Linked DNA regions of Alligator mississippiensis. The protein of the gene in region 1 purifies or fractionates together with the protein of each later gene. This does not show direct contact. Links are inferred from orthologs where the notes say so. Each region holds a gene or a part of one and is shown on either strand. Other genes may lie near its edges.

What was found. The genes of interacting proteins can lie anywhere in the genome.
Region 2: the proteins of TGFBR1 (region 1) and SMURF1 purify together in Homo sapiens (affinity purification with western blotting; 3 studies listed by BioGRID). This does not show direct contact. The link is inferred for Alligator mississippiensis from reciprocal best matches to the Homo sapiens genes TGFBR1 and SMURF1.

What each region holds. Positions count from the first base shown.
Region 1 is NC_081828.1:81,069,653-81,077,061, forward strand, and holds the start of TGFBR1 (TGF-beta receptor type-1), read left to right. Parts: upstream 1-4,395; 5' UTR 4,396-4,491; coding exon 4,492-4,570; intron 4,571-7,409. UniProt on the Homo sapiens protein: Transmembrane serine/threonine kinase forming with the TGF-beta type II serine/threonine kinase receptor, TGFBR2, the non-promiscuous receptor for the TGF-beta cytokines TGFB1, TGFB2 and TGFB3.
Region 2 is NC_081836.1:53,528,990-53,535,971, forward strand, and holds the start of SMURF1 (E3 ubiquitin-protein ligase SMURF1), read right to left. Parts: upstream 3,037-6,982; 5' UTR 2,968-3,036; coding exon 2,913-2,967; intron 1-2,912. UniProt on the Homo sapiens protein: E3 ubiquitin-protein ligase that acts as a negative regulator of BMP signaling pathway. Mediates ubiquitination and degradation of SMAD1 and SMAD5, 2 receptor-regulated SMADs specific for the BMP pathway.

The sequences.
Region 1 (7,409 bases):
CGACTGAAGATGAATTAAAGTGGTGTCTTGAGCATATTCTTCTGGGTTTGGGGCATGGCAGTGACTGTAGGCAGGTGGGGCATGCTTGGGAATGGCTTGGCCAGGACATGCTACTGTGATGGTATAGAGATGGCCTGTTAGTCTCATAGATTCATAGATTCATAGATGTTAGGGTCGGAAGGGACCTCAATAGATCATCGAGTCCGACCCCCTACATAAGCAGGAAAGAGCGCTGGGTCTAGATGACCCCAGCTAGATACTCATCTAACCTCCTCTTGAAAACCCCCAGGGTAGGGGAGAGCACCACCTCCCTTGGGAGCCCGTTCCAGACCTTGGCCTCTTGAACTGTGAAGAAGTTCCTCCTAATGTCCAATCTAAATCTGCTCTCCGCTAGCTTGTGGCCATTGTTTCTTGTAACCCCCGGGGGCACCTTGGTGAATAAATACTCACCAATTCTCAGCCTTAGAGAAAAGGTATCATTCTTATGGATGTAAACTGTGAAGTTGGGTGGGCACTTCCTGCTTTATTTTGCATGCTGAGAGCCTCCATATGTTCTGGAAGATGTTCATAAACTTTCCTCAGTTGTTTTAGTTGGCTCTGGCTAATCACAGACAGTCAAAAGGCCAGTGGCTGAATTGATTCAATCTTCACAGGCTAGTCTAATCTGTGTAGATTGAACTGATAAGCAAGCGAACAAATGTTCACTTTTGATTCTGGAAATGCAGCCACATGCCTGCAGTGGCCCAGGCCAGAAGCCAGAGGGCCTGGGCCACTGGCCCTAAAGCATGCCTCCTTGCTCTGCTGGAAGAGACAGCTTAGGCCAAGGTTAGCTTGCCTTCCCTGCAAGCGGGGGTTTGTAGGGGAGGTGAAAAGCATCCCGGGGAGCTGGGGAACTCTGATTTAACTTGAATTTGGAGAGGATTTGGGACAGAAGTTCAATAAAACAATTTAACCTAAATGAGTTAAGTCATACTAAACTGATGATTTAATTCAGTTAAATCATACTACATCCATCCAAGTTTATCTTAAACTGGTTTCAGCCATTTTGAAAGTGGTTAATGCATACTGAACTTCTGTTGTTACAGATTTGATCCTTTTTCTGATCACTTATACTTGTTTATTTGTAATTTCTGCCCCTAGCCTCTGAGTACGTCCTTCCTATGTTTCAGTCTGAACTGGGTGAATTCCTTTTGACTGGCAAATTCTATTTGTTAATTCTGGGTTTTCCAGTAGCCATTCATGGTATTTTTGTCATTGGGATTTGGGACAATCTAGTGTCTTCTCAGGCATGTAACCTTTTGCAAAGTTCTTCAGTGCAAGATCATTCAAACTATACTTTCACCTTTCTTTCCTTCTCTCATATTTATTTTCAGAGCTTCTACTCTGGGACTTTTAACAGCTCCAATATATCATTCGCGGTATTTTAGCTTGTCTTAGTCCTGGTAGCATAAGATGTTCTGTAATCACTCAGAGCCAAGAGCCTGACAGAAGTGTGCCTCAGTTCTCACTGATCAGAGCCAACACAAAACAAAAAAAATGGTTTCAAATGGCTCTTGGAAAAAACCTTTAAAGGTATAGTTCCCTACACACACAGGGAAAGCTGTTATTTGAATGGAGGCCTACATCCAGCCCCCTTCCCCCCCTCCCTGCCACCGTTTCGGGGCTGGGCCGGGCTGGGCAGGACCCAGTGCCCCTCCCCCCAAAACAGTCAATCGGAATGCAAATAAAGCACGACAGACAGACAGACAGACAGGCTAAGGCTTTTATAATATTAGAATTTCAGCACTGGAAGTTGAATGAGAGGCATAACTGGGAAATGTGATGTAATAAAAAATATGGAAGAAGGTAAGATGTTTTAGTCCTGAATCAAGGTAGATGGAAGATAATGCAGCTATATACGGCTATTGTGTGTTGCAGTAATGGAGTATGAACTACCTGAATTGCATAGCAATGGTCCTAAAATCCGTCCAGTGAGAACAAGCTGTAATGTTGAGGTATCCATTACTACTCACTGAAGGTCAAGATCTCCAGTGTCAGAATCTGTTCCTTCTCTAACCTCAGTAATAACAGATAATGATTTTTAAAGCAGTTAAAAGTTCAGAGGTTTGAAACAACAGACGTGAGATTGTAGCACCAGGACAGGCAGTTTAGAGCTTAAATAGTCTGTTATATAGTACCTCTGTGGTTACTCCTCCTACCCATTTTACCCCTTTCAACTTTGCACTGCCTCTTGCTGCTTGCTTTGACCCCAGGGTGTGGTCTGCAATCCATTTGAGGTCTTGGGTATCTAAGGGTCAGGACTGTAGATATGGTGGCTGTAGCTACTTTCCCCCTAGCAGTCTTTTTCCTTGGTCCGTGTTTCAGGGAGGGATGATTGGTTGAACCTATCAGTTAATTTACAGGTAACATTTACTCCTATGCTGCCATTTGGAAGCTCATCATATTTTCTGCTAATTTATGGTTTAATTTTATTGTTGGCTGCCAGCCAAAAAGCAGTGTCAAAGACTTCTGCAGTCTGGGAAGTGGGTTAGGAGCCATCTGCAGGGGACATAGGGGAAGAGTGGATTCAGTCATGGAAGCCCTCAAGCACTCTAGTGGAAGGGAGAGAATAGAAAATAATTTCAACACTTATTTGCCTTGTCTTATTTTGGGCTTGACATACCTCCAGAAGACCCATGAAGAAGAGATGAATGTTGAAATATGAAGAATAATGGCTTTTGAACCTAAGCTTCATAACAAAATAAACTCCTGATTAAATTCTAACTGTAATTAAAGCAAAAAGCAGAGATGACCAGAGCAGGGTGCAGGGCCCTCCCTCCAGATGCAAGAAAGCTGGTGGCAGATTCGGTTGGGGGGAGGAGGGTCCTAAGCAGCCAGACATGCCAGATTCGGCAGCGGATTTGGTGGTGGCAGGGGGTGTGTGGGGGACAGTGGCAGCGTGGAGTCACTGCTCTGCTGGGCCCCGCAAAGCATGTGACCCAGGGCAGTCACCCTGATTTCCCCCCCCCCCCCCCCCCCCCCCCCCCCCCCCGGACAGCCCTAGCAAAAACACAAGATTTGAACAACCTTAACTATGCCCCAGCATTTGTTAGTAATGTTTCCTTTTCATTAGTTTCCTTCCCTGTTAATCTTTCTCATTAGTTTGAGTGACTAAACATATGTTTGCCTAGTAATGTTGAATCTGCTAGTGTGACAGGAGCAATTCCTGTGTGTATGTAACAGAGTTACAATTTGTGTCAGATCACAAAGATACATAACCCTGTTCTTATGATACTAAGATTACAGCATTATTTTGCTCAGCAAGGAAAAATGCAACTTGGGTGTGTTTCTGTAGTGCGGTGACAGTTGCTAGGAGAAAACGGAAAGGAGAACGAAGGAGTAAATATTAATTTTGCACGCTTGTGAACTGTTTAGAAGCGTTCCTGATTCATAACCATTTGCGTTTGTCCGAAAGGTAGGGTTTCTTATAAAAATGACTGCACACATACGCAGAACTGAGAAATAGCTTTTGTAGTGTATGTACAACTTGTTTTCAAGGAGACCCCCTAGCTCACCCCAGACAGAGGGACATGTGGTTATGTAGGAGTAGAGCTGCAATGCCCAGACTGGCTGGCACTGTGCTGCTAGACTTCCTGGGTGCTACGCCATGCTTTGTCGGGGGACACCATATGCTGGCTGAATGGTGGAAGGAATCGGAGATCTAGAAGTGCTTGGGCAAAGTTAGCCCGCTGGAGTGGTTGTGGGTTTTGCCCCAGCTCAGCCAGCTGCAGAGCAAATGGTCGGTGTGGGCGAGTGGGTTTTGGACTGGGAGGAACAAGCAAGGAAAGGAAGCGCCGGCTTCAAGGCAGGGTCTCCACCCCGCAACCCTCCCGGGGACCCAGCTCAGCGCAGCGGCCCTCACCCCCTCGGCAAGGGCCGACTCCTAGCGGTCCCGCCGGCACTGACTGCAGAGCAGCCCTGCGGCCGCCGACAACCCCAGCAGCTCTCCACAGGGGGTCCCCAGCGTCAGTTCCAGGTTGCTCTGCTGAACCGCAGCCGCCCGGCTCAGTCACCGCCCGGGGAGCCTCCGCCCACGGGCCCCGCTGCCGTGATATAGCGGCGCGGCCGCAGGCGGTACTCCAGTGCTCTCCCCGCCGGGCGCCCCCAGACAGGCAGGAGCCCCGCCCCGCCCCGCCCCCGCCCGCCGGGCCCTGGCGGCCTCCCGAGGGCGGGGCCTCGCCTGCCACTCAGGTTCGGGCCCCGCCCCGCTGGCCGCGCGCCGGGCCGGTTGTAGGCTCGCGCCCCTTGTTGTTGCTCGGAATGTCTGCAGCTGCCGTTGGGGGCGGGGCCGGGGGCGGTGGCCGCCAATCAGGAGCGGCCTCCGCTTCAGTTGCCCGGGGGGGGCCGGGCCCGGCGGCGCGAGGCTGTGTGTCTCAGTTAGGCGGGCGCGCGGGGGCCTCCAGGCGGCGGCCGGTCGCGCGGGGTGGGCCCCGGCTGGGCTGTTGCGGGACGATGGCGCGAGCGGCTCCCGGGTGGCCCCGGGCCCGCCTGTGGCTGGCGGCCGCCCTGCTGCTGCTCCCGGGGGCAGCGGGTGAGTGCTGCGGCCAGGGCTGGAGCGGGGGGGCGGCGCCTTGGGTCCGGCGGCTCCTTTCACCAACATGGCGCGGGGGCCGGGCCGGGCGCTGGCCGCGGGGGAGGTCTATGCTGGCCAGAGCCCGCGGCCTCGTCCCATTGTTGGCCGGGCCGGTGCGGGCTGGGCCGGGCCGGGCCGGGGGGCGGGTCCTGCGGGGGCGGGGCCGGTGGGGCTCCGCTAGTGTCCGCAACCGCAGCGCCGGCGCCTCCGTGCGGGATCGGGCCGGGCCGGGGCAGGCAGGAGCTGTGGCAGGGGCCAAGGGCCGGCCGGGGTGGGGGCGCGCAGCCGCGGCCGTTGTGCTCCGAGTGCGGGGCTGTCCGCGGAGCGGAGCCAAATGCAGCCCGCCGAGCCCGGGCACTCGTTCCGGGCCCCGCGCGCCGCTCGTCTCTCTGCCCTGGAGTTCCCCTGGGGGTAGAAAGTAACTTCGTAGCTCTAGCTCTTGTTCTTGCTCTCTCTTTAACCTGGGGAAACTTCATGACTTCCTTCTTTTGGTTTTTTGTGTATGTGTGTCTCGAGCGCTTTGTGCGAGCCGGAGGCCTCCCTCGCAGTCTGTGTTTTCATCTGGTAAACCTTACGGTTTCCTCACTGAGCCAGAGTCTCACTTTACGCTGAAGCTTGTGCAGCAATAAATGACATAACTAGATCCTGTCTGAAGCTGTCTTGTTCTCATAACTAAAGTTGTTTTGACGAGATGAAGCAGGTATTTTTTTAAAGGGGGGGGCGGGGATGACAAACAATGAAGTAAGAGTGGAGTGAAATACCTGGTTGCTGCTCACTGTCTCAGGCTTGCTACAGGTTTTGAGTAGCTTAACCTTCGGAGCACAGTATCCTTCTGACTTGCGTGGTATGGAGAAAATCTTACGCTGGTGGGGTAATGCTTAGGAAAATCATGTCTAACATTTCTTTTGCTGAACCAGGCAGATTTTGTAAGAGCTGGGGTGTGATGAGGTATAGTGGGACTGGGAGGAATGGGTTATAGTGGGACTGGCTTCCATAACATCTTTGTGTGCTGCACATTTGAAAAGATATAGTGCTCCTTGAAAGCATTTTTACAGATATTTTTCTGAAAAGTGCTGGTACCAGGTTGAATCTGCTTATGATAAGTTAGGACTGATACCTTATCATAAGCAGATTCAACCTGGTACCAGCCCTTATAAAAATCCTACGCTACGCTGAACTGTTAACTGAATTGCCAGTCTGCTTGTATGACAGCCCAAGGGCCACATGCAGCCTCTGAAGAGTAGATACATAGTCCTCAGGCTCCCACCCTTGGGCTCCCTGTTTGCCAGGTTGCTCTGGCTCTTCCCTGCTCTCTCCCCCTTCTGGCTGCTGCCTCCTGCCTTCATCCTAGGGGTATGGCAGTGTGGGGAGCTGAGGGTCAGCTCAGGGTTCAGGGGAGGGAGGGAAGAGTTGGGGATTGCACTTGAGTGGTGCAGAAGGAAGAGGAGGGGGATGTGCATGTTGACGTGGGAAGCAGGTTGCACCCACGTGGCTCAGTAGTTGAAGGGGGCGGGAACTTCTGCATAATATACCTGGTCTGGCCCCCGGGGACCTAGAAGTTGGACAGCCCTGGCACAGGTTGTCCTACATTTATGTAAAACAAAATAATAATTTTGTCTTAACATTCAGTGTCTGTCATTGGATGCCCTTTGTGATAATCAGGGATCCTGGTTTTCCCTGACAAAAAAATCATAAATTCTCCAATAACCCCCTCACCCCCCCCATCCATTATTAAAAAGAAAGCCCATCCCCATCCTCCCTGGCCCTGCTGGTGCCCCCCACCCCCAGCTCCTGCTCCCCCAGCTCTGCTGGAGGCGGGCCCCCAGCTGCCAGAGCTATGGAGCCAGGGACTCGGGTCCACAGCCCTCTGCCCCTTGCAGCAGGTAGTAGTTGTTGCAGTGGAGCGGAGCCTGGTGCACACCTGCTGCCTGCTTGCTTCAGATTTGTGCAGGGGGGGCAGATCCCTGCCACAGTGTGCACTCTGGAGAGGCAGGGGGGGACCCATGGGGCCAGGGCTGCATGCTATGGGCACCCATCCTGCTCCCCTCCCCTGGGACATCTGCAGCCTGGCACATGCGACCTGGCACTGCAAAGAACAGCAAGGCCACTCAGGAAAGCTGCTTGCCACTGCGAGTGCTGTACTGCCCTGGCAATGCATCCTCTGTGCGCAACCCCACGCCGCCACCCCCGCTGCATCCACGTGTACAGGGGACCGCGTTGCCAGGGCAGTGCAGAGCTCGTAACCACAAGCAGCTTTCCTGTGCAGGCTTGCTGTTCTTTGCAGCACCAGGTTGCAGAAGCCCCAGGAGAGGTCATAGGTGCGGAAACCCGCAGCAGGCAGCATGCAGCCCCCACCCTCCACATAGTTCTAGGGGGCACAGGTCCCTCCTGCTCTCCAGGACGGCACACTGCAGTGAGGAGCAGGGACCACCCCCCCCCCCCAGACAGATCTGGTGGGCATGGGTCCCCCTACCCCCCGGGAGTGCATACAGCAGCAGGAAGCTGCCTGCTGGGTGAGCTGCCCGCGGCCCTATTCCGCTCCCTGCCAGGGCTCTGTGGCCGTGCATTACAGCTCCAGGCCCCAAGCCCCAGGTGCTGCCTAGCTGGGCAGCAGCCCCTGCCTTGCTTAACTCCCTCCCTTCTTCCATTTGGGACCATCAATGCTTCCTCCCCCCCACTTACCTGTGGGAGCTGTTCTCCAGGCTGCCTCATGGCCATACGTATATGTATGCACATGGATACCCTGCCTGGCCACCCTCCTCCCGCTCCCCCCAGTCCCTTGCAGGCTGAAAACTTG
Region 2 (6,982 bases), on another chromosome or scaffold:
CACCTTTCTCTGCCAACTACCATCACCAGCTTTCTATAAAATTAGTCCTATAGCCTAGGCATTGTCTTTGATTCCTTTTATCTAATAAGTCTAGGTTTCCTCCAAATCTGAAGGCTTGTTCCTCCAGAATGTTTCTAAATCTAACCTTTTCCTCATGTCAGGATGGCAAGGATTCCTACCTATACTCCCAATGTCTATACCTTCTCAGTCTGTACAAGACTAAAACTATACTGTTCTGATCTCTCCTGCTACCCTCATATCAATTTTTAAAAAAGTTACAGGCTTAATTCTCAAGGCCCTTCCTAATTCTGTGGCTCTTAATTTCTTTGAGTTTTAGTATTGTCTTAAACTCCCTTTCTTTGGCCAATTAAAGTGGCCTTAACTACCAACTTGCCCATTCTTCCCACAAAGCTCTTTACGTTTTCTTCCATGGTGGCTCTCATATACAAAGCCTTTTCCTCCGAACTGACCCATAAGATTGTTGTTACTCCATTTTTAAATCGCCTTCTCAACTGTTACTGCTAGGCTGGGCAGCAGTTAGAAAAAGGCAAAAGCAATTTCATTATAAAACATAAAAAATAGTAAAGCTATACACATGAAAAATATGCATCACCTTCCTCTTCCCTACTCTTCATCATCTGTCTTATCATCCCAGTCTCTACCCCAAATCGCGTGCAAACCATCTTTATTTGCTACTGTCTGGCACCGTGAAACCCCAGTTTTCACTGGGGTCTCCAAGTGCTTGTGAAATTTGAACAAAATGTTATACTGTGTTGGAATCCGTCCCTCTGACAGACCACCTCCACGTGACGCTAGCCAACAGCAAGGGTGTCAGGGGTAGAATCCTATCAGTTAGATTGGACACTATTTGCACATATATGAGGGTTTTCTGGTCTTTCAAATGCAACCCTCTGTTGACCCCAAGACATTGTGAACAGACAGCTTGCAAACGCAAACTGACAAACCCTGTTGGAAACTTTTCTAACTTAAAAAAAAAAAAAAAAGTTTCACCATTGCAAAATTGCTCCAAGCAGTGAAGACAACAGGGCTCATAACAATTTTGTATTCTTTATCTACATTAGCATTTTCACCGCGGTTATTACGAGAAGCAATGACAATGGCAGCCTTATCTGCACAGGGCTTGGGGGGAAAGTTGGCATATGACGGGAGATGAGAGCATCTAGGAAGCGAGTACGAGGTGAGATCATTTTATTCTGCTGACTGGTTCTTATTTGTTGCTGCTAAGGTTTTTTGTTTTAAAATGGACTTGAGATTTACTTTTTTTTTTTTTTTTTTTTAAGTTATAGTTAGGCGTCATGGTAGCTTCCAAAATCTTCTATCCAAACTACAGCTATGTTCTTAATTGTTGTCACAGCAGCTAGAATTTAGGACAGGATAAGATAAATACCCCCCAATGCAAATATTTTTAGAAAGTGCCAAAGCAAAGTTCACTTTCTTAAACACTGAAAGTGTACACCAATGTTCACATCTCATTTATGGAGTGGCTCTTGGAGGCAGCTTCAATCTTAGTGGTATTTACACAGCAATGTTCAGTAGTGCAAAACAGAGATTGTTTAAAATTGTGGGAAAACAAACTGCAAATTCAGTCATAGGAAATGTGATGTAAGCGGTCAATCATAACAAAAGATGGTCTGCGTTTACTATAATTCAGCTCAAATCTCTCAAAACCAAAACAGAATTTAACAACAAAAGGCATATTAGCTACAGTTCTTTGAAGCAGATCAGCCAACAAGCAAATTTCCAAGGAAGTCAGAAGTGAAACGTTTACTAATGTTTCTGAAGTGAAAACTCTCTCTCGAAGCAATTCTTTTGCAGACAAAATACTGCACGTGTTGACTCACCAACTAGAGATTTCTGTTAATAAAAACAAAGAGGTGGCTGACCAGGTCGGATATTTCCTCAATGTATTTTAAAGACTGCTACCGAGAAACAGGACACAGAAGCAATCCTAGCCCTTACATCCGTCGGCTCTCTACAAAATGATTTTCACTATGAAAGTAAGTTCATGCCGGCACGAAGCAAAAATGAAGAGACAAGCCATCTGACGCAGCATTCACCGGAACGGGCAAAACAAGTAACTTCTGGTCCCATTTACTGTCGCTGCCGTGTTCGGAGGGGGATTGCGGGTGCATTACACACCAATCCCTTGGCTCCTTCTCGATCGGTAAAAAAAAATCTACACTGCTGTGTCAGAGACAGGTATGTGAGCGAACCTATATCGATGTTAGGGCCGGGAGGGACCTCGGCCGATCGAGTCCAGCCCCAGTTGAGAACCGCGCCGGCGCCCAGCAAGCGACACGCGCTCGCTTCGCAAGGGAAGAAATGAGTAACCCGTCTCCACAAAATACTTTTTTTTTTTTTTAAAAAGAAATCCATTCGTTAGTTCTCCGGGGCAAGCAAGGTGTGTCCCGAGACCAACCAAACCCACGGGAAGAATGGGGGGTTTTGCCCAGAGGCGCGTGCGGCGCGTGGCAGTCCCGCCACCGACTCGTTATTAAACCCGCCACCTTTCACACGCCCGGCAGAGAAGCGCGGGCGCCCACGTCCCGGGCACGGCGCCCCCGGGCAGGGCGATGCTCCAGGAGGCACCTGTTGCCTTGCCAAGCCGGGAGCCTCGCCCCGCGCGGATCGCTGCCTCGCGTGGAGGAGCCGGCGCGCCCCCCAGCCACGCACCCTCGCCGGCGTGGGCAGGGAAAGCAAAGGACGTGGACCCCCCCCCCCCGGACACTGCCCCCGAGGAAGTTCACTCCGCAGCACGGCCCCCCTCAGGAGCCGCCCGCGGGGAGGTTGCGGCCTGCGGCGATGCGGACGGGTAGACCCCCCAGGCCCGGCCTGCTCAAGGGGGTGGTGGTGGGGGGGGGGGGAATAACGGTCAGCCCCGCTGCCGCTACCTGTCAGCCGGATCTTGATGCTGGAGCCGCTCCGACGCGTCCCCGGGGTCGACATCGCAGCCCCGCGGCCGCCGCCCCCATCCGGGCCCAGCCCAGCCGCCGCCGCCGCCGCTCGACGCCGGCCCGGCCCGGCCCAGGACAGCGCGCTCGCCCCGCCCCCAGGCCGCGCACGTCATGACGCCGGCGCGCCACCATGTTGGTGAGGTCCGCGCGCGCGGGGGGCGGTGCCACACCCTAGGGGCGGGGCCGCCAGCGGAAGGCGCCGGCGGGAAGACAGCTGCGCCCCCTGAAGAAAGCCCTTGGCTCCCACGCGGGGCGGCCGCGCCTGCAGGAGGCTGCAGCCGCTAGGTGTGTCTGCACACCGTCCAGGGCTGGTCTGGAGGCTGCAGGCATTAGATGCGATCCCCAGGAGACAAATGATAGGGCGTGCATGAAAATGCATACCTGTGGTTGAATCTGATGTATGCAGCGGTCCAGGTTTTAACACACGACCGTCGTGTGCACACACCTTCTGGATGTAAAATCTATACAGGCAGTCCCTGGTCTTATGACACACCTGGCTACTGAAAACAGCATCTTAAGTCCAAACGGTGCAACTCGGAACTGATTTTCTCATAAGAAACAATGTTATAAATGGGGGATTGGTTCCCGAATCAAGGCCCGGTACCTTATTTTCACCAAAAACATCCCAGCCTTTTGTACTCAATCAATTATAGATGAGTACTATAGCTACATTAATGTATTTCTACTGTAAATAGCAATCACATTGATTTGGAAGGACTTCTCTGAGGCGAGTCTGTTGGACTTTTTGAAGGGCTCTCGGCTGGAGTCTTCTCGGGAGTCTCGGCTGCCTTTTTAAAGGAAGTGCCCTAGGAAGCTGGGACAGGTGTTCTCCAAGGAGATGGGCGATGCAGCAAACTTCTTCGCTGGTGCGGCATCACATCTGATCAAGCGCTGTGAAGTCAAAACTGAGGTCAGAAAGTTGAAACGGTGTCAATTTATAAACGTCGTAAGTGCAAAATGTTGCAACTCGAAACCTTGTACATTGAGGACTACCTGTATACGAGGTTGAATCTGAGGTACGCAGCAGTCCAGTAGATTTTAAAGTCCGACAGTCGTGTGAATTCACCTTCCCCATGTAAAGTCTGTGCCCTGCCATCCATAATTATTATATGCAAGCAGGTGGGCACATTTGCGTTGCGTGTCACGGGCGTGCTGGCACTCCAGAAACCTCCCAGAATAGATTCAAACCGATTCGGCAAGTCTACTCTCGCATCGTTCCCAAACCATCTGGGCTACATCACTCCCCAAAATATCTGTTATGCTTAGGTACTGGGGCTGGACGTGCAGGTCGGTGCCTCGCCTCCCTTATGAATCTCTGCACGCCATCGGCCTCGTTAGGGTCCAGGGCTTCCTAATATCAGACCCCATATAAATGGCAGATCCAATAGCATCACCCTTTGCTGAGGAAGATGGGACAGGGCCTTTCCAAAGAGCCCTGTGTCCTACCTCAGGCTCCCACCCAGATAATTACAGTATAGTCAGCATAATATAAATACTAGTTCACCCCCCAAGAGGTAGGCAAGGTTTCTTGAGTAGATATGATATCTTCTATTAGACCAACTGAGTACACAGCTGTGATATCTTCTATTAGGTCTAATAAAAGATATCCCATTACTCAAAAAACCTTGCCTCTCTCTTGAGGGGGGAATTATTACTTGTATAATATATACACATCTACTAAAAAAAAAAACCAACCCTTGCCTGCCTATGTCCTTAGCCCAATGTGGCTACAACCAAAAACCCCACCCTCAAGAAGTGGTTTTAGTCTCATCCCACCTCCATGCCATCACTTGATTCAATGTTAGACTCACTGGGCCAGGCTCATTTTGATGCTCCCAGTCGCACTGAGACTGAAACGCCTGGCTATTTAGGTACATACTGCGAGCAGATGAGGGGCTACATGAGAGTAGCTCAGCCCGACAGACTCTGTAAATACTATTAAATCACAAATGGTAGCATCGCAAATGTTAGCATTTCTTTTCTGCAGGCAAGGAGATGACCTAGTTCCCCAACCTGGCTGATTTATTGAACTGGAAGCAGGGTAATGTACGCTTGGGTTGTGCTTTGCTCCTAACTCTATTTAAGCTGAGATCATCATCTGTGCTTGGTAGATGGAAGTGGCATGGCTCACCCCTCACATAAGTTAAGACAGCACACTTTCTAAGCTCCCCCTCTTTTGGAGCAAAAAGTAAATCAAGGCAAGCAGAAATGCATGTGAAGGTGTCTGAACCACAGGGACAGCCAAGTGGCCAGGCACAATTGTTTCAAGTTTTCCTCTTGTAAGTATATTCAGACTGGATTTCAAAGCAGCCAGTCTTGCACGTGGAAGAGAATCTATGGATTTTAAACCACAGATTTTATTGAACTTTGCCTATTCTTTCATGCATGGTATGAAATGTCACTATCTAGCCCTTCAATCCACAGCTGATAACCCTGTGTGTAGTGCTTTCCACAGTCTGGAAAAGCATTTGTTAATTAATTCATACCTCAACTGGGAACCAGGCAGCCTGACATTTTCACTCCAAGGGTTCTATCACTTTAAGCATATTCAGGAATGAGAAGCAAGGCAAGGATATTTATGACTAACCCCAAACTCTTGCTGTTTGATTTCCAGAACATATGTTATGCTGGTTTCTAATGCCTTGTCTCCCAATAGCAGATTTTCCTCACTGCTTATTTTCATCTGTGGATTGTCACTTGGAGGTACAATAGCTGTAGATGTTACAATCTGTTTGCTGAGCCAACTCTGTGAATCTCTCTCTATATATAGGATGTCATTCAGGCAGAACAGGGAGGAAAATACGCTGCGATTTCCAGGGAGACTACTGGCTGCAGTGAAAGGAAGACTCCATAAATTTATAGTTACCTTGGACTGTAAAGTTAGATAACAGGTTCAGGTGCAATAGGCAAAGTAAAGCACACTGCTTGGCTTTTATTCATTCAAATCCTTCCTTTTTAAGATTTATCTTTCAGACTTTCTAGTATTGCTGTGGTTTCTTGTTTCATTGATCATGTATATCTGATAAAGCAGTGCATGAAGTCTGGATCTTCTCTCTAATACTTCAAGCATCTGAACTCCACTCTAGGGCTTAACTTATCCTCTGAAAAATGTTTAATATAAGTCACACTTGCACACAGCTGAAAACCAGCCAGGCAAGCAAATTACAATAAAAGGGTGTAGTTCAGGTGGCAGAGTAATTCATTTGGGATTGGAAAGGAAGAGTTGGAGGAGAGGTCCCCTTACCCACTGAATTGTCATTTATAGTAAGGGAAGATAACCCTGAATGGGTACATCACTGTACCTGCCTGCACTGGCAAATTACAGGCAGAAGCCTTCTGGTGATCATTTACTAACTCCTGTCATTTGAAAGGGTTGGAACAAATGAATGCGTACTTCCATTAGGGAAATGGAGTGAAAAAAAATCTAGCTCATTTAGGGAAGAGCACATGAATTTCCTCTTTCAACCGAGTTCGACTTGGTGCAGCTGGAGTTTAACTGGCTGTAGTAAAGGTGGAAATACCTACCTACAACATGACTGTAAGCAGAGATGGATGAATAAGAGGGCAGTGCCAGATGCCTGTAGGCATAGCAGGCTATCTAGTCTTGGGAGACACTGGGCAGCCATCCATGGAATAGGCCATCTGAATGAGGCAGCATTTGGTATATGGCCAACTGCATTCCTTGCTAAACTGAAGTCCAGTGATGGGAGCCTGGGTTACCTTGCACATCTTAAGTCTCCAATGACAGTCTTGGTAGAAGTGCTAACCCAGACCAGTTCCAGGTCATCTAGAATTGCTGCCACCGCCAGAGCTATTCTACGTAGTGGCGGGAGCGCCAGACAGACAATCTGTGCTAACACTTCTGCTGCCACCAGACCACCGGTGGGAGATTATAGAACAGCACAGCCCCACCAAGCGCCTTGCAGTAATCTAATATCAAGGCAGAGTTGCACTGCAATCTGCTCCTTACCTCCATATCCATTTACACCAGGGAGAAGCATCTCCCT